Oreochromis niloticus: one gene and its partners. The protein of the gene in region 3 interacts with the protein of the main gene of each other region in a pairwise test. Links are inferred from orthologs where the notes say so. Each region holds a gene or a part of one and is shown on either strand. Other genes may lie near its edges. The genes, in order: ptmab, mphosph6, nupr1b and ran.

Region 1 (6,918 bases), on a different chromosome or scaffold from region 3:
GCAGCGTTGAGGGGAGCTCGGGTGAGTGTGGACGTGGCGGGTGTTTGTTGAACTCTACTTGCTAATGACCATGTTGGATTTTTTTATTATTATTATTTTTTCCTTTAAATCAGTCCTCCAGCCCCTCCACCTGCGACATAGAAAAACGGTCAGAGGTGAAGAATCAGGAAGTGGTTCAGCAGGATGGCGCGGGGGAAACGCATCAATCGTCATCGTCGGTTTTCTGCTTCTTGGTTTCGACGTCGTCCTGAAAGAAGACAAGAAGAAGACGGTGGCGGGTTAGACCGGCGCCTGCTGGGTGTCATGGCACCGCTCGTTTTAAGGGCGTCTTAGGCGCTGCTGCCTCACCTCATCGTCGTCCTCGTCATCCTCAGCTGCCCGTTTTGTGCCACCCTCAATCTCGTCTTCATCCTCCTCCTCATCTTCCTCATCACCTACAGGACAAAAGTTGAAAGGTGAAAATTTTTAGACTCTAACAGGAGTTTATTATTTTTTAAAAGGCAAATAAGCCTTCAAGCTACCTTCTCCATCATCTTCCTCTTCTTCCTCGTCCACCTCCTCGTCCTCCTCGTCATCTACCTCGGGCTCACCGTTCTCCTCATTCTCCTGGAAAACACAAAAATGGTTAAAAATGTCCACCTCTGTGCACAGAGTTGCTGCTGTGGCGGCGGTGATGGCACTCACCTTTCCGTTGGTGGCGGCGTCTTTGCCGTTCTCCTTCTCCTCCACCAGCTTCTTCTCTTTCAGGTCCTGAAAACAAATAAAAGCAAACATCAGAAACTGAACCTGCTCATCTGCCCACCGAAACGCGCTGCTGGGTTTAGACTCCGCCCACCGCTGCTACCTGCCCCTCTACCTACTGGCCTACTTAGCAGCGTCCCAGTGCTTGCTGGGAGCTGCACGTTTTTCAGCCTTCCTATTTAAACACCATATTGGCCTCTGCAGATCCTCCCCCCATCTCCTTCCTCTCCTCCCACTCCATCCCCTCTAATGTGTTGTAATCTGATACTTTGATGTGGCCCGCGGGGCATTCTGGGTATTGTAGTCTTCTATGGGCCGCTGTCGCTGCCATATGTCACGAGACACGCCCGGGAGAAGCACTGCAATACCCAGGATGCACCCCGTTTAAAATAACACAGGAGGGCGCAGGAGCAGGGAGGGAGCAGGAGGAGGGGTCGATGATGGAGGAGGAGGAGGCGGCGGAGAGAGCGCGATGCACGCTGCTGCTGCTGCTCGTTGTAACGGAGGCAGGAAAGGACAATAGAAGACGACACATGGCAAGCGAGCGAAGCGAAGACACGGCACCTTCCGCCTCCGTGCTCGAGCTCAGCGCGCACTAACGCCGCTCCTCTTCCTCGTTTTGTTCCCCCACAGCCCATTATCCCCGCCGCACGCGCGCCTCACGCATCCACACGTAGGCTGTTATTGATTAATTGCTCTCCATAATCTTATTGGTTGAAATCCATTAAGCTGTTAAGCGGCAGGAGGAGAGCAGGCTGCCCGCGCGCTGCGCGTAAAAACGCGCTTGTGCGTAAAAACGCTCCACAACTAAAAATAGTGAACAGGCTCCCCGGATTACCCGCGCTAATGCCTGTCCAACTTTTCCCCTCTCCACCCCCTCCACCTTTACCACCTCCTCCAAATGGACATTTCTTATAATCGCTCAGAATTATTGAGAATTATTCTCGGGATGATCGCGGTCCGCGGAGCCACGACTCCCCCCGCGGGGGCGATTAAACTTTTACCCGATCTGATCCAAAGTCCACGCGCACAAAAACTCGCGTTTTCACAACAAAAGCAGCTCAAACGTGTAAACGGAGGAAAACCCGCAGAAAGAGGGGAAAACCAGCAGCGTCACATCACACCTCCACAGCCCGGCCACGCGCGCGCACGCGAGCACACACACACACACACACACACACACACAGGGAGAAAGAAGTGTCTGCATTACAAAAAAAAGAAAGAAAAGTTTCCCGTGAGACCGAAGCGCGCCCTGCAAACAAACCCCGAAAACACCAAAGCAAAGCGGAAGCCCCGGGCTCATAGCCGCTCACGCGCTCCGGGAGCGGAGACCGGAGCAGCTCAGGCTGGAGCAGCGGCGGCCGCCGACCTTCCGGAGTCGGTAAACAAACGGGGTCGGACGGTGCAGGCAGGCCGGTGGCTTTAACAAACGGGCTCACGGAAATAAGAAATAAAAAAGGCGGGAGGAAAAGTGCAGAACCGAAAGTTCACCGGAGGACTGCGCACCGCCTGACGCGCTGTCCTCCATTCAAACGGAGCAAACCCCAGGCTGGAGGTCCGCGTCCACGCATCCACCGGCCGCTGAGTGTGTCACCGCTCCCGGTAATGCGACCCGACCGAGTCCCTGCACCGGGAGCGGAACCTCCCCTCGATCTAATCCGCGTTAAGAGCCCGAGATGCGGGATAAATATGCGCGGCGCCCCGGCGCTCACAACGAGTCCGAAAACCCCGCGGGGAGCGAGCCGGGGGACCGGAGCTGCTCGGTGTCCGGGTCTCGCTTGGAGGTGTGCGTGCCGGCAGGAGAACAGAGCTGCTCGCAGAAACAAAGACCCGCGCAGACCAGGACTCTCCGGACAATGAGCCGCGGCGCTTTAACGCTGCCCGTGTCCGTGATGCGGTGCCGAGACCCCCCACTTCCCTCTACACACCGAGTTCAGGGGCAAAGAGGCGAACACCGGCTTTTCTTCTCCTCCTCCTCCTCCTCAGACTCCACAAAGTCCGAGCGAGCGCGAAGCAACGACGGAGAGGTTTTAAATGTAGGTTAGAGCCTGGAGAGCTTTATTCTTGTAAGGGGCTCCGCGGAGACACGGCCCCGCGAATGGAGGTGTGCGGCAGCTTACCTTGGCAGAGATATCCGAGCCGGAGTCGACCTGTGTGTCTGCCATTGTTTAGTAGAATAAAATAAAGGACGGCTGAAATGAAAGGTTGAATAAAGTAAATCCCCTCGTCTCAGTTAGCGGATCAATCAGTATTATATTGTGCCAGTGGCCAACGCTTCTGACGGCCGAGCCTTTAATATAGGCTTGTGGGCGGGGTCTTCATGAGGTCGGTGGTCTCTGATTGGCCAGGGGCTCGACAGAGGCGTTCTCCTAGCGCGTCGAGTAACAATGGATAGAATTTCTTAACCTAAAGGCCACGCCCCCTCCTATTCTACCGCTGCAACCGTCCCTTTCTCCCCTAAAACAATAATCCGAGTCGATAAAAGCCCACAAAACGGACCGGAGCCGGAACCGTGGCAGCTCCACAGCACCGTGAGCGCGAGAAAATCGAGTTTCCATCGAGTTACGCAGTAAATATGTCGAATCGAGAGCGCTTCGGTTGACGTAGTGTCAGTTTGATTGATTGATGTGCGTCTGGACGAGTCAAGCGGCGACTTCAGACGGTTTCTCCCGCCCACCGCCGCGACGGGGGAATAGAGGCGAAGTGTTTGGGAGGGAAACGTGGACGACACGGATGTTATCACGGATTAAATCGGGCTTTTCTACGCAAACGTTAGTGTCACATCTCAGGCTCCATGTGAACAACATCAGTCAGATAAAAGGCGCTAACAGTGTAAATGTGGAGCGGCGCCGCCATGTCACATCGCAGCTCTTCGTCGCCCCGCCCCTTCCCGACGTCCATGTTTGAAACTCATCCCTGTATGTGCGCACTTGACACTCTTGAGGGCTTTTTTTTTTTTTTTACATAACAGCCCATAAATTCGTGCGCCAAGGTCGAGACACAAATAAACACTGTACCCGTCGAACAACACACACACAGCCGGCTCTGACGCCGTGAGTCGGGCTGTTCGGGCTCAGTGAGCGGGTGCAGTGAACAGTGCTGGTGGCCTCATTTCCTCCGCCTCCATTGTTAGAACCCACAGAGAAATGCCCCGCCGTGGAGGAGGGAAAAAAGCAGTGCGACATAAAAGACATGCGATGAGACAAGTGCGGAAAATAATTATAATGTGCTCATGAACTGACGCGCATTCTTATGAAACACAAGGGCAAACACGTATTTTCCTTACCGACTTTTGTACACATGGCTTTTACAAGCTGAACTGAGAAGGACAAAGCGGCACGCAAAAAGGCAGCCGCTATTGCTCAGTGGAGATGGGGGATGGGAGCAGAGTGTGCTCCGATAACAGGCAGCCCACATTCACATTCTACTTTGATGACGCACTTGCCCGCAGAGGACGGCTCTGATTGGTCGGTTAAGTGGAATAAACACAGCTTTGGCGCACGGCAGGCGCTGATTGGTTATCGCCAACGTCCGTCAATTCAAAACTAGGCTCAGTCGGCTGACGGTAAAGAGCGGGCCCGGATGCTGGATCCGGACTGTGCTTCCATCAGTGTAGAGTTTCAGTTCTGTCTTTGACATGTTTGATTTCCCAGTTGTTGCCTTTTAGTTTTAGCGCCACGATCTCTGAGAGACACACTCATTATGCTTAATTGTTTGGAAAAGCCGGGCTCTTCATATTTCATTAGGCTGTATTATAAAATATTTAAACAGGTATCAGAGAGAGCAGATGGAGGCGGTGATCCTTCAACAGAACCAAACTCTGTCTCCCTGCTGCATCCATCTAACCACGTTTTGAGTGTGTGGAAAAAATGAATTTACTGACACGCACCCGCAGCGTGTCCACCTGTTTATGTGGTGATTTTGAATTTGTGTATTAAAGCTGCTGTGCCCAACTTTTATACTGTGCATTACAGTCATATACTGAATAAAGATGATGGATGTAGCTAATGTGATGAGCCATCCCTTACTGAATCGTCCAGAAGCGTCTTGGTGTTGAAACCGGACGAGAAACTCGATACTGCCAGGAGTTGTAAGTCACATGCACAATCGTACCCTGAGTCATTGTCATTTTTGACTCTAGCAGAGATTGTTATTTAAAAAGGAACATTATATGGTATTGATTGCGACTATAGACCCATCAGGAAAGTCTTTAATGAGGTCATGGATTGGGGGAGCCAAAGGTCAATGTCTCATAGGCTCCTATACAACTAAACCAGCCAGAGGAGTCGCCCCCTGCTGGCCATTGTGTAAGAAAAAGGTACTTTTCAGAACTTAAGAAGCTATGTCCGAATTTTAACCTTGCAGGTAAATCTCTGTATTTTCGGGCTTAGGCTGCGTTAAATCTGGTTTCCATGGTAACGCCAGATGTAAAACACAACAGCAAAGTAAAGAAGCTCCCAAGAAAAGTTCCTGATGATTCTGAAGACACAAATCTTTCACAGGAACTATTACAGTCTAAAACAAGTGAAAAAAATCATCCTATGTGTCGAATCGAGAGCGCTGTGTGACCTCAGTAAACGCTATCATCAACAGTTTGTGGTCTCACTCGTGTGTTTTAAGTCTAATCAAATTCCATCAGTTCCCAGAAGCACAGTAAAGCTGGGTGTGATCGACAAGTCGCTAGCCTATAAGCATCCTGTATCCCTCTAACATGACATCTTCTTTCAGTAAGATAAGATGATGATGGTCAATGGGCTCAGCTTCAGCCTTTACAAACTAACAGGTGACATCACAATGGCTACGTCCATCATTTATTCATCATGTGACCATCGGCTATGTTAGAACAGAAACTAGCAGAGATGGTGTATTTCCATCAGGTTTGAACTTCTTTTAAAGAGGTCCTCTTTTTCTTAAAACATGAACTACACCCCAATGAAAAAATGACTATTAAAATCATAAAACCAGACGCAGTTTCCCAAAAAGAAATGTAAATGTAGAGTTAACAAATCACAAAAATGCATGTGGCTTGTAGATGTGCATTACTGCCTGCATCACGGCTCACCATAACCAAACTGCAGACAAGACTGATGATGTCATCTAAACATCTGTGTTTCTGGTGTGTTTGACACATTGGAAACCCAAAGAAGGCCTAAATGGTTTCTTAAAATAAACAAAGTAAGACAATTAATTAATTATAAGCAGAAAAGAGTAACAGAGTTGGCCAGTCGGGTTCAGTACTGATTTGGTGCACCAGAACCTGACTGTCGGTCCATCTCCGAGTACCAAAACAAATCTATGAGCCAAGGTTGGATTAACGGCTGTGCAGAGCAGTCAGCTTCCTCTGGCCTCCAAAGCTCTGAGTTTGCGGCGTGTCAATTGGTTGTAGATAATTTGATTAACCGCAGATTTGTCGAGGAATTTGAACCACAGAACATCAGTATCAGCTGAGACAGGTACTTAATGCTGAGGATCTGTTCTGGAGAAGCAAAAGAAAGACTGCTGTTAGTTTAGTTTTATTCAGTGATAAATAACACACTTTGGTTCTCAGGTTGGTCGGACCATGCTGGGTGTCAGCTGGTCCTCCTTTGCCATTACACAGCTGAGCATGCCGCCGCTCAGAGCTCACAGTTGGTAAGGTTCAGGGATTTATTTAATCAGTAGATGCCAGAATAGCTCCATGCTAACACTGGAGTTTAATGTACATTTTAGATTTCAGAAATAAAAACTACACGAAGCACATGCAGTCTCACTTTATTCACTGAAGCAGCCGCTGCTACATGATTATCGTCACCCTGCAGCAGCGAGTGCAGTCACATAAACTGGTCACTGATGCAAATCAGCTGCGGACGCAGACAATAACTCTGTTCACGGACAGCTGCGTCTTCTGATACACTCCCAGTGTGTGTGGTGGGAAACCGCTTCAGGCTGTAACAATTATCATATGAAAAATGTCCAGTTATACATTTAAAAACATTTGAGACGTGACTTTAAATTTAAAAGCAGAGACAGGAACTTTAGTGTGCAGATCATCTTCATTCACATAAAACCAGGACAAACAGATTCAGGGATAGCTTCTTTCCCAGAGCTGTCGCCGTAGTAAATAAGCACAAAAACAATTGAAACTGCTTAGCTACACGATACTGTCACCGTCATTTATTATGCTGCTATCCATACTGT
Region 2 (6,839 bases), on a different chromosome or scaffold from region 3:
ATAACATCATCCGCCTCCATGATCACATGACCTCTGACCCCTAAAGACTTAAAACACACTTCACTGTGTGTTCAGACTAGAGATGGCACAATACCACTTTTTTATGTCCGATACCGATATCATAAATTTGGATATCTGCCGATACCTTAATGAATCCGATATAGTGTGTTTTTTAATCAATAAAACTGTTTTTTAATATCTTGCTGCATTTTGTATAAGTTCATACTCAAGTTTAAATAAACAACAACACTAAAGCTATTCTGTTATACCTGTATGTAAAAAATACACTGCACCCAAAATATTTCATAGTTCAGCAACACTGATCAATCTAATAAACTTAAACCTGCTCCATCCTCCCTATTCTGGTATTTTAAAGAGTACTTAGCAGAAATATTAAGCAACCTAACTAACAGGGTTGCAAACTCCCAGCAAAAAAAGAAATAGGGAACCACCCCCCACCCTCCACCTCATGATGCTTAATCGATGTAATCAACTTTAATTTGATGCAGGGTGAAAAAAAATGCACAGAAATAAATTATTTTTCAAGAATAATTAAATAGATTCAACATCTTTCTTCTACAGAACTGCAGACTGCACAGATGGTACCTTCCCAAAGGAAAAAGTACTATAGCTTACTAGGGTATATTAGACTTAACAGTTACTATATACAGTAATGGACTTCTATACATGTTACATCAGATTAAAACTTTGGGTGTAAGATTCAGATAATTATTTATTAAAAGCTAGACATTTTAAATGAGAATAAGAAAGAAAAGTATGTCTTTGTGCCCCCTTTTCCCTGTTCATGCCCCATCGGCCCCCCTGGCTACACTTTGCTAGATCCGCCCCTGCACAGTTACCAGCCGTCAGCTACGTAGAAAAGGATCCTGGTGTAGAAAGTAATATTAAATACATTCTAACAACAGCTTATCAAGGTTAAACGTGCTGCTGTTGTTCCGCCGCTGGTTTCCTCTTTCTGGAGCAAAGTGGGCCAAAAACAAAGAAGAGAGACGGACTCGCGACAGAAAAGCCAATCAGCTGATCATCATACCGAAAAGCACCACTGAACGACACAGGAAATCATTCCTGCCTGTGGCCATCTCCCTGTACAACGCATCCACTTAACACACTGGCTACTGCTACAACTACATGTTTCTTTCCAGCTATTTATTAATGTGTGACTTATGTATATATATACACACATATATATACACTATATATATATATACACACATATATATACACTATATATATATATATATATATATATATATATATATATATATATATATAGTACTATTCTTAGTTAGCGTGTTGTCTGTTTTGTTAATGTTGGTTTATAATGGAGCACTGTAACAAAAAATAATTTCCCCCAGGGATCAATAAAGTATTCTGATTGATCAGTTTCACGATTGAAGTAGCAGCAGGAGAGGGAGGGAGAGAGGCAGTCGCTCCATATATCGGTTGTTAAGCTTAACATGGGAACGCTTTACAAACATTCAGAGATGAACTTACACACTTGCTTTCTTCTCTCTGGGATAACTTCCTCGGAGATGAAATGCTGGTTTGGTAGCGAGGCTACAAATACACACAGCTGCTCTATCACGTGATCACACTGCTCCGACGTGCTACGGTTATGAGCCGAGTTACGCCGTGTCGCAAGTTTTGTGAGGTGTTTTTTTGATATTTAATGGATCGGATTACATTTTTTATTTCTCTCCGATATCCGATCCAGTAATTTAGGTCAGTATCGGACCGATACCGATACGTAATATCGGATCGGTCCATTTCTAGTTCAGACTTCAAACCAGACTCCATTCAGAAAACTGCACATTAAGCAGCTGCATGAAAAAAAGTCCTTTAACGACGGTGCGGTGAGGCTGTTATGCATTTTGCTTGAATTAAAGTGGGCGGAGCCTGAATGGCGCTCATACATACTCTTTAGCCTTGAGCTCAGGCAGGTCCAGGTACCAGTGCTCATCACTGATGATCCTCCGCTCGTCCTCCTCCAGCTGCTTCTTCGTCTCTGCGTCCAGACGTCTCTGCATGAACTGTGGACACACACACACACACACACACACACACACGTCACCTTCAGCTGACGTTTCTGTGAGGTTTTAACCACACCTGCTCTCATGAATGATGATTTTACTGCACTCAGTTGTGATTGGCTGAGATCTGCAGAGAACCACAGTTGTTTCCCTCAGTGTGAAATCTTCCACATCTGCAGAACAGATTTTTAAAGTAAAGGTGAAAATCAGCAGAGAGGGCTTTATTCTGATTGGTCAAAGCATCAGGCCGCAGAAACATCTTTTCCACGCTGGTTCAGCCTCTCCAGGAAACAAACCAGCACCCTGCAGGTTATTACCTCCCCCTGGACGTCATATCAGACTCTGATACAGTTTTTAAAGCATGAATTTCAGCCGTCGTTCCCATTATTCGTGACGTAACACAAATACTTGAGCATCCACACGGGTTCAGATTCGCATCACGTGAGAGATCATTTTAAAGTCAGAGTTTATCTTTAGAGTCTCAGACTGGCACACATTATTTATTAATAAATTACATTTACAGCCTGTTATTAACTCTGCTGCACGCCGATTTACTCTCTGGGTCACACCCGACATCCGGTAATCAATTTCAACTTCTATTTACGATTTAAAACTTCCTGTGAAGCAGAAAACCTTAAATTATCAGGATTGCTGAGTGGAGTTATGCGCCGGCGCATTACAAAGCTAACGTTCTGCTAGCTATCGGCTGCTAGCTGCTCTCGCGTGTCCGTTAGCACGCGCAGCTTCACTTACCTTCATCCGCAGCAGATTTTTGGACAGCTTCACCGACTCACTCGCCATCTTCAACCCAAGAGAATGCGGCTAACCGAACTGGAGGACCCTCGGTGCTGCACACCGAGCTAACGCCACGCTGAACAGAGGCAGAAAGAACCGAGCGCTGAACTGCTTCTCCAGCCCTGCTAATCGAGCTCTGATGTGCAGCCCAGGGGCGGATCTAGAGAAATTTTCTTAGGGTGGGGGGCAGTGTTGCCAACTTAGCGACTTTGTCGCTATATTTAGCGAGTTTTCAGACCCCCTAGCGACTTTTTTTCTTAAAAAAGTCGCTAAAAAAAGACGTGAAAGCGCGTATCGCTTTTACTCTCAACAAGCAGCGGGTGCTGTAACACAGTCAGTTCTTCTTTTACTCTTTTACTCTTATGCTGTTTTGTGGATCACAAGGTTTAAAACTACTTATAAACACACACACACACAAAGTAACTCCACCAGAGTGCCTATTTCGGATCACTTTTGCCGGTCCAAGCCCGGGTAAAGGAGCAGGGTTGGAATTGTGACATTAAAAAAAACAATAATTGCTAAAAGAAATTTAATTTGTAGTTCTAAATAAACTCTAAATGCATTTAGGACGTTTTTACTCACTTTATGTCTCTTCCACGATGTTATTTCTCTCTCCAACAACATAGGTTACAATTATATTAGCATGACCAATTATGCAAATTAGGTGATGACTTCATTTAGCGACTTCTAGCGACTTTTAGGACAACCAATAGCGATTTTCCTTACTGAGGAGTTGGCAACACTGGTGGGGGGAGCTGGTAGTGTGAGGCTTGCGGGAAAAAGCTGTCTTGCAGTTCGGAGGATTGGGCCCAGATGCTGTGATTTTTTGCGCCGTTCCGTGGCGCAAAAAAGGTTGGGGACCGCTGATCTAAGTGACTTATATATTATGTTTAACCTGAGTAGTGGGGGGGGGGTTGAAAACGATGTGCTGGGAGCCGCGCCTTGACTACCCGGTCAGCTGGTGGGTAACAGGCATCTCCGAAAACGTTGGAGCACTTTTGCAAATATGTGATGGCTTCATAAATCGAGCAGATATTTGAAGTTTACACAGCGCCATTCATCAAATATCTTAAAAGTTTATTTTGTGACCCAGAAAGAGTAATATTTCAAACTCCGCCACTGCGCGTTCCTCTGCCACTGCGTTTGAGTTTTGGATGAAATGCATTCTGGGATATTTGCCTGGGTTTAGCTACAGCAGCCAGTGAGCTGATTAGAGACCAAAACAGCCAATCAGAATGTTTTCCATCCAAGTCTGTGATTGGCTGGTTTTGTGGCACAATTATAACGGTGTACAGAAAGAGTTGAAAGCGCACAGGCAGAAATGTTGAGAGCACAAGCAACACATTGTGAGCAAGCGCAAATGCAAAAACTGAGCGAGCGGGGCTGCTATTGTGTGTGTGTGTATGGATAATAGCAAACACTGAAATACATTTTTTGCACGCAGCAATGAATTTTGTTCACTCAAATTTAGCTTTTCTTAGCTCAAAATACATTTCTCCTCAAAATGCAACACTTGCACCTGCAATTTTTTTTTACGTGTGCTCAAATTTTTTTACGTGCGCTCAGAATAGTGGCACAAAAATAACGCCATAGATTACCTGGATGACTGAGCACGCATCACCACTGAGCAACAACAGTCAATTACTTTTCATAACTCCGCAAACCTCTGATGTCAGTGTGTGTCTGTGTGTGTGTTGCTGTTTGGAGACATTAATCATTTTATGTGGTCACATTTTGTTGGACCCGCCTCCTTCTCGAGGTGTGACGTATGGCGTATGGAGATTGGTTGAAAGTGACCTATTGTTAGAGCAGCTTTGCATGATTTACAGCTCAAAATAATCCTTCTTTATCTGAATCTGGCCCTGGGAACTTCCTTTCAAAGTGGAATAAAGAAAATTTGTGTTGTATTTGTATTTGTTGTAACTTCTGCTGCCCTCTTGGAAAACAGACACTTGAAACCCAAACACCATTTCATGCTACATTATCCTGGAGCCATCGGAAAATTGGGCCCATAGTTCATTTCTGGTCTGTGCGCTTTGAGGCAAACTTGGATTTTTCTAATGAGTAAGTCGTGTGAATTGCAGCTTTTGGAATATTTGTAAATCCCAGGCCTACAGACACCAAATAATGATGTGCTACACTCTTTTTTCTGACCTTGACGTTGGGCCAGGAAGCACCAGACTGCTCGATTCGCACATGATTTTGAAAAAGTCACAAGTGGATTTGAGGGAAGTTCTGTTTTCACACAAGTGTTTCTGCCATCCTGGATTAAGTACAAAGGTACAAACTACAGGCCGGGAATGACACTATTATCACTCTGAAGATGGGAACCTGTGCTGAACTGTTAACAGCACAGTGACGGTACAGTCCAATGTCACAAACAGCAACCTTTGAAAGACTTTGTATTTAGTCTTTTTTTATTGCTCAGGGGATAAAGTGATTATTTGTATTTTAAAGGATTTGAGCTGTAAAAAAGCTGATGTGCTGATTTTACACCACCTACTGAACTGCAAACCGGAGTTTCTTCAGACAAAGGAGCAACATTTGTAAGTTCAGCTATGCCATCAGGCTTTTTTATCCATGTACATTCATTTGAATGACAATTAAAAATGAGAAATGTTATCTTTGCTTTAACTTTTGAGCATATTAAAACGATTCGTTTCCTGAAGTGCTGTGTGGCAGGCAGGATGTAGGACCCAAACGCGGGACTCGGAGACAGGAGGATTAACGACAAGCAGCAGCTTTACTGCTGCAGAACGTTTGAATATAAAATACAAGAAAACTAAACTAGAAACTCCAGTTCAAAGTAGAAAACACAAACACGACAGAGAACCAGAGTGTTACTAAGCACAGAGAGAAACACGGACAGGACAACGAGAGGATGGGGACAGGTGGTAACACACCAGGGACACATCAGACCTAACGAGACGAGGGGACGCATACCCACACACACTGCACCCAGGACAGGGACTATCAAAATAAAACAGGAAACACACGACAGGCACAGGGGCACGGCCGTGACACTGAACAGAGGGAACACGGAGCACAGGGACGGCGTGACAAACTGCCACAGGACACAGGATATGTAAGTATCCACTCTTCACTGGATCCACACAACAGCAATTAAAAATCCTGAATACTGCTCAGTTTCTCAGTCAGTGTACTGAAGAGCATTGATTATTAAAAACATACAGTGTGTAGCACATCTTTTAGGTAGACACATAAATAATGACAACTGCTGCAAATTTACTGAGAAGTTGTCCAAAATGTTTGTGCAACTTCATGACAGATTAAAGTGTGTAAAACATGATTGTGGACCATGGCTTGGATCTCCTAACAAACACCGGTCTGCTTCATGTCGAGCGTGCTGTTGGAGCTCATGGCTCCAGGTTTAAAGACGACTTGACAACTGCAAACATTTTTTAAATCATATTTGTTTCTCTTTTTTTCAGGATGTGTGGTTCAGCCCCGGCAGAAAACTCAGGCCAGCAGCAGGATTTCTGGAGGAACGTGTACGCAGTGTCAGGTGAAGGCTTCGTTCTGGCAGGAAGAAGAACTCAGCAGCACAGGAACGCCAAAAACACTGCCTCATTTTGTCTGGTACTAGAAGATAGACTTGCTTCTGAAGCCCCTTCCTTTTTGCAGCGATCTAAGCTTTTATCATTTGAGTGCTTGGCCTTCTATCTTTGGTTTGAATTTATTTACTTCTGCTTCCCACAGAACCAGAACAGAACAACATCTGGCTCAGGTTTCCCGACACATGCTGCAAACTGCCATCCACAGAGCAACGTGGACCCGGTCAAACGGGACGGTCCCACTTCAGCAAATTTTCACCCCGGGCATGCTGAGGTCACATCTCATGGACTAAGGACCTGTTCAACACTCAGAAGTAATACAATGTGTAAATGTACAGTGTACAATTACAATACAAATCTTTTTACTCAAAATATTTTTATTGAGCGATTGTGGATAAAGCTTACAAAAAAGAAAAAA
Region 3 (7,215 bases):
ACGCTGCGCCAAAAACTGGTCCACCCCAAGGATCGGGTCCCCCGACACAAACAGAGTAACATAGTGTACGCTGTTAAGTGCAGGAGGATTGCCAGGATGTATACATCGGGGAAACCAAACAACCTCTGGCTACAACACAGAAGAGCTACCTCATCAGGCCAGGACTCTGCAGTCTATTTACACCTACAGGCCAGTGGACACTCTTTCAACGATGAGGATGTACACATCCTGGACAGGGAGGAACGCTGGCACCAATGTCTGGTGTTTAAACATCAATGTCTGAACTTTCCAGGCTCTCTTTCCTGGCACCTCACTACATCCATCTTTTACATACAGGCTGTGTTTTTTCACTGAGGCCTAAAAGGAAGAAAAAATGAACACTCTCATTTCAGTTTAATAAGTCTTTAATCGTAAAAACAAGTTTTAAAAAACATCCTTAAGAATGAGCCATTTGCCGCCACCGCAGTCTCGGTGCGCGGTCGCGGTCCGAGCAGGGACCCAGGGGCACGCCGCCTCAGGTGAGAGCTCTCCAACACCTGCGGGCCCATCGGAGCTCAGACGCTCCTGCCATCTGCACGTGTCGTTCTGTTGCCAAGGACGCCATGGTCGGTTTCCGGGATGAGCCGTCCGAGATTCCCTGAAGTAGAAAAGAAAAATATCAAATAATTAATTAAAAGACATAAACACGAGGAGTTCAAGCATCTATTTACCACCAGCAGCACCATGTGTTAAAAATCTTTTTAAAAAAAGCTTTAAAATCCAAAATTAAACTTTTCCATAATGTTTTCTTCATCTACAGTTTCATTACGTGATCTGTCAGCTACATATACGAGTTTATCCTGTAGGATTAAATCATAATAAAGCTTAAAAATGATGTAAGAACTGTATCATTTCTAATTGACTTGCAGTACCTGCACAGGCCACCAGGAGGGCACGTAAGAAGAAAAGAGATGAGGAGGCAGGAGGAGGAAGAGGACAAGGGAGAACATGAAGAAGACGAACAGGGATGTGGAAAAGAAGGAGGATGGAGAAGGCTTGGGGTGGGGTGGGGCAAAGAAGGAGAGGAAGAGCAGGAGGAGGATTGTAAAAGTGTACAAACTGTTAGCCTCTGCCCTCTGCACCAAACCTCTACTGGATATCTGCCCATTCAAACTATGAACCTGGTGATGACGTGCAGGAGGCGAGCGGCAGGAGTTAATAAACAGTTTTGTTCTGAGGGAATTCATATTCTACGGGAAATATATGACAAATATTATAGCTAAAACAACAGCTAAGCTGTCTTTTCACTCATGACGTCACTACTATTCAACCTTAACAGTAACAAGAACAGCTGGCTTTAAATTCAGCTGTTAATTAACAGTTAATTATTGTTAATAACTGTGGAGCAAGCGCAGTTTAGGAAAATGCTTGATGTGGTTCAGTATGCTGTGTTCCAAACATTCGTTTAAAAATCGCCGATTTCAGATTCAGACCGATCCTCGAGCAAAGAAACCGAGAACAAAGATTCAAACTGGACCTCCTACACAGGAAACACGCTGTGTAAAATTCGGCGCAGGACTCGATATAAAAAGAAACTTTGGACTCTTTTCTGAGGGCTGTAAAATCAAAGTGTGGCAGCAAAAACCGCTGCGGGAGAGGCTTAAATTCAAACAATCGTAAAGGAAGTTCTGCACGCGGCGCGTCTGGCGTCACGTTTGCCCTGTTCCAGCGTTCCAAATAGCCACAGACCAGACAGCGTTCAGAAATCTGCCCGTTTTTAAGTGTTTATGGCCTCTGTCAGTGCAAACGGACTCGTGTGAGTCAGACGACTTTGCTCTGGCTGAAACTGCATTCCTACTTTACTTCGGCGCACAGTCACTGACACACAAACACGGTTTTCCAGGGTTTACCTCAGTATTCACTCCTTGGCTTTCTTCTCGCTGTTCTGGAGCTTCTCCACGATCTTGCGCTCATGTCCTGCGGGGTTGTGTCTGTTGGTGTTGTCGCTGGCCTCCTTCTTTGTCCTGCCCTTCCGAGCCGAACCTTCTGCAACAGAAAAACTAAAGCAGTGAGTTTTCCGGGCCCGGAACACGAACCGGACGGAACCAGGACAGGGTAGCTCACCTGCGTATTTATCCGTCAGGTTATAGTACTCGTACTCGTCGTAGTACTCGTCCTCAAACTTGGTGGGCTTCATGTTTTTCACGTCGACGTGACTCATGTTTGTTTTTCTAGAAGTTTGTCAGAGATCTTTGCGTCTGCGTAGTAAGCCTCAGTGTTCGCAGGTTTGTCTGTTTTTCGTCTTTCTGTGTTTGTTTATATATGAGAAGCATGCACCTCCTCCTCCTCCTCCTCCTGACTCCTCCTGCAGGGCTCCTCTTTCCTCTGCACTAATGTTGCATCAGCCACAGAGCTGCAGCCTCTGCATAACAAGATTAAGAACACACTCTTTGTGTTGAATACACAACTTTTTATCTCATATTTCTACATTTTATTTATTCAAAGTCACATTCAGTATTTCTTCTCATAGTTTTAAACCTTTGTTTACATAGTTATTAGCTCTCGTTGGTTTTTACAGCTAATTTAAACTTATTTGACTGTATACTCTTGTTTTGGTACTTTTTATGTACCCACCAAGGTATCCTAACTTTCCTTAACCTGTCCTGTTTTTGACCATGAAGCTTGTGTTATCTTCATCACATGCCTGTGACACCTGTGTACGTGGACTCTGGTCCTGTGACTCACTGTGAGACCCGACCTTGGTTCCCGCAGATGATCCCGGGTCTGTTTTCCTTGGTTATCAGCAGCTGCTGTGGTCACATGACCCTGACCTGGTTCATGGTGTTTATCTAACGCTGCTCCAACTGCACTGCAGGCCGTGACAGCAGATCAGAGTCATCCTGCAGAAATGTTTCCATTAATGTGACCGAGGCTCATCTCCAGAAGCTTCACTGTGACTTTTGGAGCCTGGCTTTTCGGTTTGTTTCCTCTCATCACTCTCATCACTCAGACATCCTTTCAGACATGATTGTAACCGTTTCCACTTTTGTTTTTCATATCAGTTTAAATACTTACTTTTTTGGAAAAACATGCAGCGAAAACTGAAGACGCTGCTGAAGGATTCAAAGCAGCATGAAAGGGCCGCTGCAGTTACTGCATATATTAGCTTTGTGTCCTTGTGTTCACATTTAAACTGAGTTATCTAATCTGTGTGGAACAAACTTTGGACTGAGCGTCTCAGAGGAACAAACAGAAGAACGAGCGCTTTGTTGTCTGCTCGTGTTTGAGAGTCAGGACATTTTTACATTTGGGCTGTAAAACACTTCAGCTCAGCACAGGTGTCACTTTCTGAGCAACTGAAGCTGTTTCAGGTGGTTTGTGCTGTAAACAGCAGCAGGAGGAGTCAGGAGGAGTCGGGAGGAGTCGGGAGGAGGCTTCTCAGACTCCTCGTGAGCGACGTGACTGAGCCGGCTGCAGAGGAGGATGTGAGACTGCAGGAACGTTTTCCTGAGTCATGGCGTGTCGTAAACATGACCTCCTGACACACAGACACAGACACACACAGACACAGACACACACACACACAGACACACACAGACACACACACACAGACACAGACACACACAGACACACACAGACACAGACACACACAGACACACACACAGACACAGACACACACAGACACAGACACACACAGACACACACAGACACAGACACACACAGACACACACACACACACAGACACAGACACACACAGACACAGACACACACAGACACACACACACAGACACACACAGACACACACACACAGACACAGACACACACAGACACACACACACACACACACACAGACACACACAGACACACACACACAGACACACACACACACACAGACACACACACACAGACACAGACACACACAGACACACACACAGACACACACACACAGACACACACAGACAGACACACACACACAGACACACACACACAGACACACAGACACACGCAGACACACACACACAGACACACAGACACAGACACACGCAGACACACACACACAGACACACACACACACACACACACACACAGACACACACACACACACACAGACACACACACACAGACACACACAGACACAGACACACGCAGACACACACACACAGACACACACACACACACACACACACACACACACACACAGACACACACACACACACACAGACACACACAGACACAGACACACGCAGACACACACACACAGACACACACACACAGACACACACAGACACAGACACACGCAGACACACACACACAGACACACACAGACACAGACACACGCAGACACACACACACACACACACACACAGAGACACACACACACAGACACACACACACAGACACACACACACACAGACACACACACACACACACAGACACACACACACAGACACACACAGACACAGACACACGCAGACACACACACACAGACACACACACAACTTTTAAACCTTGAATTGAATTTTCTGCTTTTTAGATTTAAACCCATCACACGTGTTTGTTTATCATTCATAAGTTTTATTTTTTATCTTATAAATTTATTTGTATCTTTTCTGACTCAGGAAGTCGAATCTTTCCGATGATGATTTTGTGTTTTTAGCAGCAAACTGTGGACGATCATGTCTTCATGCTGCAGCTCCGACTCAGTGAAACATGATTTTTTGACGTTTTGACGTCGAGCTGAAATCTCGTTATTCTGCTGAATCAGGGAAACTTCTGTTTCTGTACTTTCTCTCCTCACGTTTGACTGTTTATCTCACAGTTTGAAATATTTCATGAATAACTGACTTTTTTCATGAAATCAACCTTTTATCATGTTTATGTCGCAGCTCTAAGTCACGGCTGCATGTTTACACGTTTTAAACCGAGTGTGTAATCTGCAGGATCTGAGCTCAGGATGTTTTCTTTGCTGCAGACGTGTGCGCAGTCACATGTGCGAGGCGTGTCGCGCTCCCACTGAACACACAGGTCACAGATATCAGCTGATATCAGCAGGTAAACATTAACTGCGGCTGAAAACTTGCTCAGGTGTTTTCATCTTCATGAATCCTTTTACTGCACGTTACACGCACTAACACAGCTGTAAACATTTCCTTTTAAATCTCCTGAAATTGTTTCATTTATTTATTTCATTCACCTGAGAGGCCGAGGTCACTGATCGTTGGACATGTTGAGGGTTTAGGGTGCACGTGCGTCCTCTCGTGCACGCGAATCATTTTGGTTTTTCTGAGTTTTAGTATTTTTACAGCTGGCCTCCATCACAGTGCTGCTTCTTTGAACCAGTGTTTCCAGTTTTTATCCGTCTCAAACCAGCACAGCCTTAGCCACCTCTGATTTACTAAAGTCAGGGCCCAAAGTTTGTACTGACGGGTTAAATATGAAAAATGTACAGTGCAAAAGACGAACAGTGATGATTACTTAACGTGTCATAATAGAATTCCATGTATGTAAAATAAAGCATGCAGAATCATTTTAACATGAAATGATTGAACAGTTTTAATTCAGACAGAGATTTTTCAGACACTTTGAATGTTTTAGTTCTTCTGATTTTTGGATGTTTGGAAGTGAAACACAAACTGAAACAAACTCAGCGACGTCTAAAAGACTCTCATACAGTTCATATGAAAGTAATCCCATTACTTTACTGTTTACTTATTTTCAAAAGTAATTAGTTACTTAATTACTTTTTAAAACATGATACACAACCTGAATTCGTAATAAAGCAACAGACGTTTCAGCCCAAATTTATTTTTTCTGCATAATCCATCATATAAAATGTAACCAAATGAAAAAGTCTCTTTTTATAAATTGTTTTATTTGTTTTCATCTTTATGCACAATGAATTAAGCATGAATTAAATTATATCCATCAGTCTTTGACTTTAACATTTAAACCTATTTCCTGCATATCCCAGCATATAAAAATAATAAATATTGTTTTGTGTTTACACTCTTTCAAATAGATGCAAGTAAAACACAGCAGGAAATAAATAAAATCAAAGATTCAGCAGCTCTGAGTCCTGTCGCTCTTAAATCTATTGTCACCTGTTTAGCAGGAGTGGGGCGGGTGGAGGTTTGCCCACAGCGGTCATGTCAGTGGGAGGATCCGGGGGTTTCTCTGTGAGTGTCACATTCCCGTGGCGGCGTGCTCGCTGCTCAAAGTTGAAGTTTAATTCTTTGCTGTAGAAAGAAGTTTTCTTCCCACGCAGAGTGAACAGCAGACGCTGATGTTTTTGTCAGTTTTTACAGAATCAAACTCAAAGTAATGTGATTACTTCCACGCTTTAAACGCTGCATGGTCGTACTCTCTCCATCACTCCATGTTATCCACGGTTGATCTGCACACGTCTGTTGCTGCCACAGACATCGCACACACTCGCACATCATTGTCATGAGACACTCTCACAAACAAAATCACGGTTTAATAACGCGAAAGTAATGGTAATCTAATTACTTTTTTGCAATCTTAATCCCTTACTTTACTTGTTACTTGAAAAAGTAATCAGATTACATGTTACTGCCCACCACTGGTGCAAAAGAACTCAGTCTCTTACCTTCAGTTGAACATATCTAAAACAAAGACATGGTTTCTGACTTTAGGCCACAGAGATGGAGCGAGAAAGAAGCACAGAGGGTCACCGGCACCCTCACTGCCAAAGGGAACTTGCTCATTTCCACACTGACCGAGGAATTCTAATTTATTTTTATCTCTTTGTTTGGTGGCATGGTTCAGTCAGACCTCTGCCACAGAGAAAAATGCACTGAGTCACATAGTGAGATGGTCCAGGCGTCTGACAGGTGAGTCACAGGGTAACCCCTCTATGGGGTGAACTGCCATCACTGAACTTAATAAGAACTGTTTTTTGATTTGATTCATCTCGTCTAATTACCAAAACAGGTGTGTGTTGCCAAACACATTTTTCAGTAAAGCAAATTTACCTACAGGTGTAAATAAAGTAACCTCGAACCTTCTCCACAAAAGTGAAGAAAAAACATTTTTATGCAACTTTCATGCCAGATTGAACAAATATGACAGGTTGTACCACAGAAACAGAAATCTTGTCTTTTCCAAAGAAAAACAACAACTGGAGTTTCCAGAAGAACGTCCAATTATAAATGAGCAGACGTGCTCTACATACCTGCCAGTGTTTGACCTTCTGTCCTTTCATAATTCAGGTTA
Region 4 (6,969 bases), on a different chromosome or scaffold from region 3:
AATTACAGCAATTCTGATGGCAGAAGATGGTCCAACCGGTTCTATCAAAGCGTATCTATATAAAGTGTCTGATTTGTTTATGTACTGTTATTAATCATGGCCAGAAATTAAGTTAATGAGGTCAGTATACATCCATCTTATGCCTATGAGTCAGAAACTCAGGCTTCATACACCTTTAAACAGTACATTTCAGACACTCCCTGCTGTTCATTGCTTTGTTCGATGTCAGTCAGAGTATGTATCCTTAATTAGAGTCACTTCAGTGACACAGCTCTGCTTATGAATACAGCAGCCCCACCCACTACAAAATAAGGTCTATAGGGAGAGGACTTAAACCACTGTTTAACTCCTCTTCCTTTAAACTGAGCCACATTGAAGAGGTGAGTAATTGACCTCTCTTCAACTAATTCATATCTTGCAAATTAATGTGTGTCAGGGACAGTGGGCCCTTTAAGGGTTTTTTTTAACATATTTTTTATTCTTTGCCTTCACGCAGGTTTGGCAATGACCATGAGTTATCTGTTCCGTGAACCTGCCACCATCAACTACCCATTTGAGAAGGGTCCTCTGTCGCCCCGCTTTCGGGGGGAGCACGCCCTCCGCCGCTATCCTAACGGAGAGGAGCGCTGCATTGCCTGTAAGCTTTGTGAGGCTGTCTGCCCTGCTCAGGTAAACGCAAACACACAGTCCCTTTTATTATGATAGTTGTGTTTTGGTTTTGGTTTTTTGTTTTGTTTTTTGGACATGTTGAGGTTGTCTAGAGGATGTACTGAGGTACAAACAAAGCATTATACTGAACAAGAAATATGAATGACATCACTTTGACATGGCACAGCTGTTAGCCATGGATGATCAGGTTTAAGGATTTTTAGAAACTGATGGTTTGGCAGTGGCAGTTCTCTGGGCGATGGAACTGATAAAAAGACATTGAATAACCGCTTATTTCAACCACGATATGAAGAACAACGTCTCTGAAAACACAACATGCTGAAACCTTGAAGCAGACCAGTCACAGCAGCTGAAGGTTTCCAGCTGAGAACAGGAAACTGAGGCTAGAGTGGGCACAAGTGCAATAGTGTGGCAGATATTTTTGAACACATTTACCGCTCATTTAAACACCACCTTACACCGGAGTATTGTTGACACAAATAACTTCCACAATCACCAAATCTCACCAGAACTGACTGATGCTCTCATGTGAACGTGTACCCTATGTGCTTCTTAGCACCTTTTTGCATCTGCAGTACTGTGATGCAATATTTCTATTTTGCTTCAGACCAGCAGGATTTTCTTGTAATTTATTAAAGAGCTCTTCAGCAATGGCTTTCTTAGGGTCTTTTAAAGTGTTTCTGTATACATTGGCTGCTTCTTCCCTTATTTTCAATCCACTCTAGTCCTGTACCTAACCACTTTCAGAGGAATCCTTTTTTTATTAAGCCACTTAGCACTCATGAATGAATCATTCAAGACTAAAAAAAACACCCAACTCAAAGGATGAACCGTTGCTGTGCCTACAGCTTACACATAACAAACAATTTAGCAAAGAACCCATTTTAAATTGTATCTTTAGACACTTTTTATATCCGGCAAAGATCTGAGACAGGACCTAAGAACTTCATCTTACTCTACACTCTATCCATCTGCTGTTCACCAAAACCTGACCAAAAATGGGCTCAGTGGTAGGGTGTCTGTCAAGAAACATTCTTGAAACCAGATTATTGTTTTGAAGCTACCAGTGGATCATGAATTGCTAATCATTCATGATGTTTTTGTGCTATGAATACATGTATATCTCAAAAGAAAGAACAAAAACTTAAAGGTTAACACTATTGCTTGATGGGAAAACATAGACTGCTGGAACATTTCATTATTGGCAGGGATAGTATTAAGGAATGCAAACAAGGAAAAGAAGCTGAGGTATGCCAAGTTAATCGGGAGCTGGGACTGAAAATCAGGGGCAAAAGGTTTGATGGAGTGATGGCTCCATATTTAGTCTAAATCGTCATCATGATATGCAGAGGAGGTCAGGAGAGGGCTACAGCAGTGAGTGTCTACACACGGTGGAGGCTCTGTCATGGTTTAGGGCTGCCTTTAAGCCAGTGGTGTTGGAGATGTGGTCAAACTGGATGTAATTATGAACCCAGAAAACTATCATCAGATTTTGATCTGATTGGCAAAGGCTTCATTTTTCAGCATGGTAATTATCCCAAGCACACTGCCATTCAGTTTATTTGTTTGTAGTCAGTTCTCAAAGTGTCTGTAAAATGAATGTTGCTGATATTTGAATGCTTCCTACTGTTACGCCAAAAAACCAAAACGGTTTAAACATGATGCTTCCCTTTCCTTTCTCTATTGATCTCAGGCTATCACTATTGAGGCTGAGACTCGAGCCGATGGCAGCAGGCGGACCACGCGCTATGACATTGACATGACCAAATGCATCTACTGCGGCTTCTGCCAGGAAGCCTGTCCTGTTGATGCCATTGTTGAGGTAAAAACAAAAGTGTCCTCCAAGATTGATGAAGCTGAACAAGCAAATGCTAATGTGGGGATCTTTCACTGTCTTTACTCTAGTTCAGTACAGTAAATTTACAACTGAAAAACTCCACTACTCCACCCAACCCTCCTTCAAAACAGACAGTTAATGTCTTTTTAAAAAAAAATTGAATTCCTTCTTCAGGGTCCGAACTTCGAGTTCTCCACAGAGACTCACGAGGAGCTGTTGTACAACAAGGAGAAGCTGCTCAACAACGGAGACCGATGGGAGGCTGAGATAGCAGCCAACATACAGGCAGACTATCTGTACAGATAGACTCACTGTGGGAGGGTACTGTATGTTCTCCTGATATGCATTTAAAGAGATTACTGGCAGTTTTACAGTTATGCCAGCGAGTTCCGAGTGGTGAAGCCTCATATACTGAGGAAATTCTTTAAAAAACGCACAAATTTTATTCCTCTTAGGTGTAGTTGTACTTTTTGATGTTGAACTTGCACAATTTATATATACACAATGTGGGACAGACCATTTTCTGTAGCTCGTCAAAGCTTGCAATATAAGAGTATATTATTTGAAATGTTTGTTTTAAAGATATTGACAGACCTGTTGCAAATTGAATTAACTGAATTGGAAAGGGGAAAAAACCTTTGAAACTGAGAAGATGTGTTTTGTGCTTTTCTGTTTATTATATTATATCAAAAACTTGACTCTTGTTGGACCAAAACCCTTACATTAAGTGAGTTAATGACTGTGTTTTTAATGGTTTATTAGGCTGTTGTTATACGGTTGTAGCCTCCATTGTAACTATTGCTGTTTGCAGTTGTGATGCAAATAAATTACTTTTAAATTTTTAGTCAATAGAAACAAAATAAATATAATTAAATATGGTTGTTCAGTGTTTACTGGATTATCTGCTTTTTTGAGTTGCTTAATAAATGAAAATGATTAATTAAAATGAAATGTTTTTATTGACTTTTTTTTTAAGGATTTTGCATTTTCACTGAATTGGTGTTTCAACTGACTTTCACCTGTGTCAAAATTAAAACGCACTTGTGTTTTTGAAGCCAGCTGTGGTAAACAGATGGTAGTTATAGATATTATTATTGTTGTTGTAGTACACAAAGAAAGAAAATAACTTTTCATTCACTGACTTTTGTGTGGTAAAAAGTGTACCAATATTACTTGGTCTGACCTACGAAGCATCTTTGGCTGTTAGTAGGATAACACTAAACATTTTGGGTATTGGGCTCTTTTGTCTGCCACATGTGCATCCAAAAGTTGTTCAAGGAAACGAGGACGTTGCTGCTATCCTGTGTTTTTTAACAAGTTACCTCAGAAATAAACAGCTCGTAACCATACACAGCTGCCCAGCCTTAGCTGCTTGTCTGTAGTGGGAAATTATGCTTTTCTAGCTGCATGTGAATGTCCTTTAGGGTTGGATAAGTGTGTTTAAATAAAGACTGAATGCTGAATCACGTTCAGTTAGGACCGTGTTGCTTCATGATGCGTTTTTGCCGCTGCGAGGGTCACATGATAAGGGCGGAAACTGACTCATAGTCCACGCTGAATCTCCCGCGAACGCAGCCATTTACTCTTTCCTCTCTTCGAAGTGTTACCGGTGAGTCTCTGAATTCCTCTCACAATGCGGGCTATCATATATTTCAAGTTTGCATTCTTTGGGGAGAAAAGTCAGTTAAAACAATGGGCAGCTTTAAATCTTTGTCTTGCGATTTTGTAGCTGTATCCACGTGAGGAATGGGGCAACCGGGGAAGGCCGGTGGTTTTTCTTATGCGGCTAACTAGCTGTTAGCTCGATAAAAAGAATGGCTTCCATGCTGTGCTAGCTAACAGGTTAGCATGCACGGCTATCCCTCATTTTTTTTCTGCTTTGTTCTTGGGACTCGCGCGTATTCCTGTAAATACATAGTCAGTATTTTTGACAAAATATATTGTGGATGCGTGGAGTTACATTCATGTGTAGGGTACTATTTAGGCTGGGTTTGACTTGAAGTGTAGCGTGGAACACATTAGATGGGCTTCCAGTCGGATTGTTTCAGTCGAACAAGAAAAAGTGCGCTCGCCCGTCGTGTGGCGCACTCAATCTAACGTTTTTAGCTTTCCTAGCTAGCAGCCGTTGGTGTTGAAATGCGCATTTAGAAGCGCGCTTTCGTAATTTTCCATTGAATGCAAATATACATTAAACACACAAAATGAATTAAACCTTTTTTCACAACATAGGTGCACCGTTACACGTTTACTCGTTACATGTGTGAACGTTAGCTTGGATGGAAAATGCTAGAAGTTATGGCTATGTAACAAGCTATGGAGTTTAGCTAAACGACAAAATCGTAGAAAACCGCTCAAAACACCAAAATAACATCTCAACAAATCATAGCTTATGTCATATTTTGTCTTCTTGAAATGCCATTTAAAGGAGTTGCTAGCACTGCTAGTTAGTGTTGACGGACAACGTGCTAATCAACCGTCCCGCCTCGTTTTATTTAACAGAAAAGTCGCAACCACGGCGGACTCAATGGCACAGTGTGTTCCGGTGGCGGTGTTTAAGGTAAGTGCTTGCAGTCTAAGATAAATTGATGTTCCATTTCTCAGCCTTTTAACTAAATGAAGCACCGCTGTCTGTGCTAACAACGGTCAATGTGGTGAACCAGTACCAACCAGTCTAGACTAACTGTACGCTCTGCATCGCAGTTGGTTTTGGTAGGAGATGGAGGCACCGGGAAAACGACTTTTGTGAAGAGGCATATCACAGGAGAGTTTGAGAAGAAATATGTTGGTGAGTACTCGCTTCCCAGGAAGGAAATCAGCTCATTCTTCTGGTCTCAATGAGTTAAAGATGCGGTGATAGATTTGAAAGGAGGATGTATGATGCCAAATGTGTTAAATGGAACTATAGGGAGCAACATGTCCTGCATGCCCCTTCCTCAGATAAAATATGACTGTCTTCATCACTGTTTACACCTTCCTTCTCCTTATTCATTATGTCTTTGCTTGAAATTTCAGCTACTCTTGGAGTAGAGGTGCACCCACTGATTTTCCACACCAACAGAGGAGCAATCAAGTATAATGTGTGGGACACAGCCGGTCAGGAGAAGTTTGGAGGCCTGAGAGATGGCTACTACATTCAAGGTGCTCCTCGCATCCTTCGCATGCTGCTCGAGTTTCACGTTTTTAAAATTCATGTACCTTGGCTTTAGCTGAACAATACGTTAATGCTTTCTTGCTTCCTCAACAGCTCAGTGTGCTATCATCATGTTCGACGTCACTTCTCGAGTCACCTATAAGAACGTGCCCAACTGGCATCGTGACCTGGTCCGTGTCTGTGAGAACATTCCCATTGTTCTTTGTGGCAACAAGGTGGACATCAAAGACAGGAAAGTCAAAGCCAAGAGCATTGTGTTTCACCGCAAGAAGAACCTGCAGGTAATAACTGCTTGCAAAAATGTGTATTTTTGAATTGCAGAAACAACTTTTGAGTTTTGTCATTTCTAACTGCTGCAAATTTTTCTATCTGCAGTACTACGACATTTCTGCCAAGAGTAACTACAACTTTGAGAAGCCTTTCCTGTGGTTAGCAAGGAAGTTGATCGGTGATCCCAACCTGGAGTTTGTGGCAATGCCTGCCCTTGCTCCCCCAGAGGTCCAGATGGACCCATCCCTTGCTGCTAAGTATGAGGAAGAGCTTCAAGTGAGTATCACTGTACAGACTCATTTGTGTGATTTAGATGAATTTATTGTAAATTTTACTTGAGCATCTTCTAAATGTGGAACAATCTGAGACTTGACTTTGTTCTTCCATATCCAGGTTGCATCACAAACAGCACTCCCAGATGAAGAAGATGACCTCTAACCTGTTACCTAGATTTGTCCCTCCCTCCTCCCCCACCTGTGGACAGGAAGTCGTTGGAGTTTTGCCCCCTTACTGTAAAATCCCTTTTCAGATTTTTTTATTTTTGAATTTTTTTTGTTTTAAAACTTAAGTAAAAAAGAAAAAAACTTGGTGGAAAAGTTGTGGTTCTAATTTCACTGTATGACACACACCCACCCTAGTGTTGTTGTTGGCATGGCAACGTGCTACTCTTCATCGTCGAGCACCCTCCATTGCACTTACCCAGCTCACATAATGCTGTTGTACGGTGTACTGGAAGCACTAAGGGGAGTAAACTTTGAATAAAAACATTCTCGATATAACACGGCCGTTTGTGTTGTGATTTGCCTGCACGCCAACGACTTCAGGTCACAGGGAGCGCCTCGTAGTTTAAAAAGTGGCTCTAGTATATTCAAGCATCTTGGTGAGGATGATTTGGTGCACAATACAGGTTCCTGAAACTCAGGTGGATAAAAGAAACCAATAAAATTCAGCATCTGCTTTTGTGCTCTCCTGCTGTTACCAGTAAATGTTTCATATAGAAGAAGTCTCATGCCATAGCTTAGTCTGCAACATTGCCCACAGT

What was found.
Region 1: the proteins of nupr1b (region 3) and ptmab interact in binary tests that used the Homo sapiens proteins (3 or more experiments, as listed by UniProt). The link is inferred for Oreochromis niloticus from reciprocal best matches to the Homo sapiens genes NUPR1 and PTMA.
Region 2: the proteins of nupr1b (region 3) and mphosph6 interact in a two-hybrid assay, tested with the Homo sapiens proteins (2 studies listed by BioGRID and IntAct). The link is inferred for Oreochromis niloticus from reciprocal best matches to the Homo sapiens genes NUPR1 and MPHOSPH6.
Region 4: the proteins of nupr1b (region 3) and ran interact in a two-hybrid assay, tested with the Homo sapiens proteins (2 studies listed by BioGRID and IntAct). The link is inferred for Oreochromis niloticus from reciprocal best matches to the Homo sapiens genes NUPR1 and RAN.

Annotation. Positions count from the first base shown.
Region 1 is NC_031982.2:35,431,598-35,438,515, forward strand, and holds the start of ptmab (prothymosin alpha-B), read right to left. Parts: upstream 3,026-6,918; 5' UTR 2,907-3,025; coding exon 2,862-2,906; intron 751-2,861; coding exon 685-750; intron 607-684; coding exon 522-606; intron 435-521; coding exon 349-434; intron 248-348; coding exon 203-247; 3' UTR 1-202.
Region 2 is NC_031972.2:1,932,329-1,939,167, forward strand, and holds the start of mphosph6 (M-phase phosphoprotein 6), read right to left. Parts: upstream 3,002-6,839; 5' UTR 2,853-3,001; coding exon 2,805-2,852; intron 2,052-2,804; coding exon 1,939-2,051; intron 1-1,938. UniProt on the Homo sapiens protein: RNA-binding protein that associates with the RNA exosome complex. Involved in the 3'-processing of the 7S pre-RNA to the mature 5.8S rRNA and play a role in recruiting the RNA exosome complex to pre-rRNA; this function may include C1D.
Region 3 is NC_031969.2:33,682,284-33,689,498, reverse strand, and holds nupr1b (nuclear protein 1b), read right to left. Parts: upstream 2,283-7,215; 5' UTR 2,201-2,282; coding exon 2,104-2,200; intron 2,026-2,103; coding exon 1,898-2,025; 3' UTR 1,890-1,897; intron 638-1,889; 3' UTR 520-637; downstream 1-519. UniProt on the Homo sapiens protein: Transcription regulator that converts stress signals into a program of gene expression that empowers cells with resistance to the stress induced by a change in their microenvironment.
Region 4 is NC_031966.2:22,419,919-22,426,887, reverse strand, and holds ran (GTP-binding nuclear protein Ran), read left to right. Parts: upstream 1-3,961; 5' UTR 3,962-4,115; intron 4,116-5,005; 5' UTR 5,006-5,030; coding exon 5,031-5,063; intron 5,064-5,206; coding exon 5,207-5,291; intron 5,292-5,518; coding exon 5,519-5,644; intron 5,645-5,750; coding exon 5,751-5,938; intron 5,939-6,032; coding exon 6,033-6,203; intron 6,204-6,320; coding exon 6,321-6,365; 3' UTR 6,366-6,706; downstream 6,707-6,969. Other genes in the region: ndufs8b (NADH:ubiquinone oxidoreductase core subunit S8b), read left to right, coding at 497-669, 2,363-2,491, 2,681-2,812. UniProt on the Homo sapiens protein: GTPase involved in nucleocytoplasmic transport, participating both to the import and the export from the nucleus of proteins and RNAs. Switches between a cytoplasmic GDP- and a nuclear GTP-bound state by nucleotide exchange and GTP hydrolysis.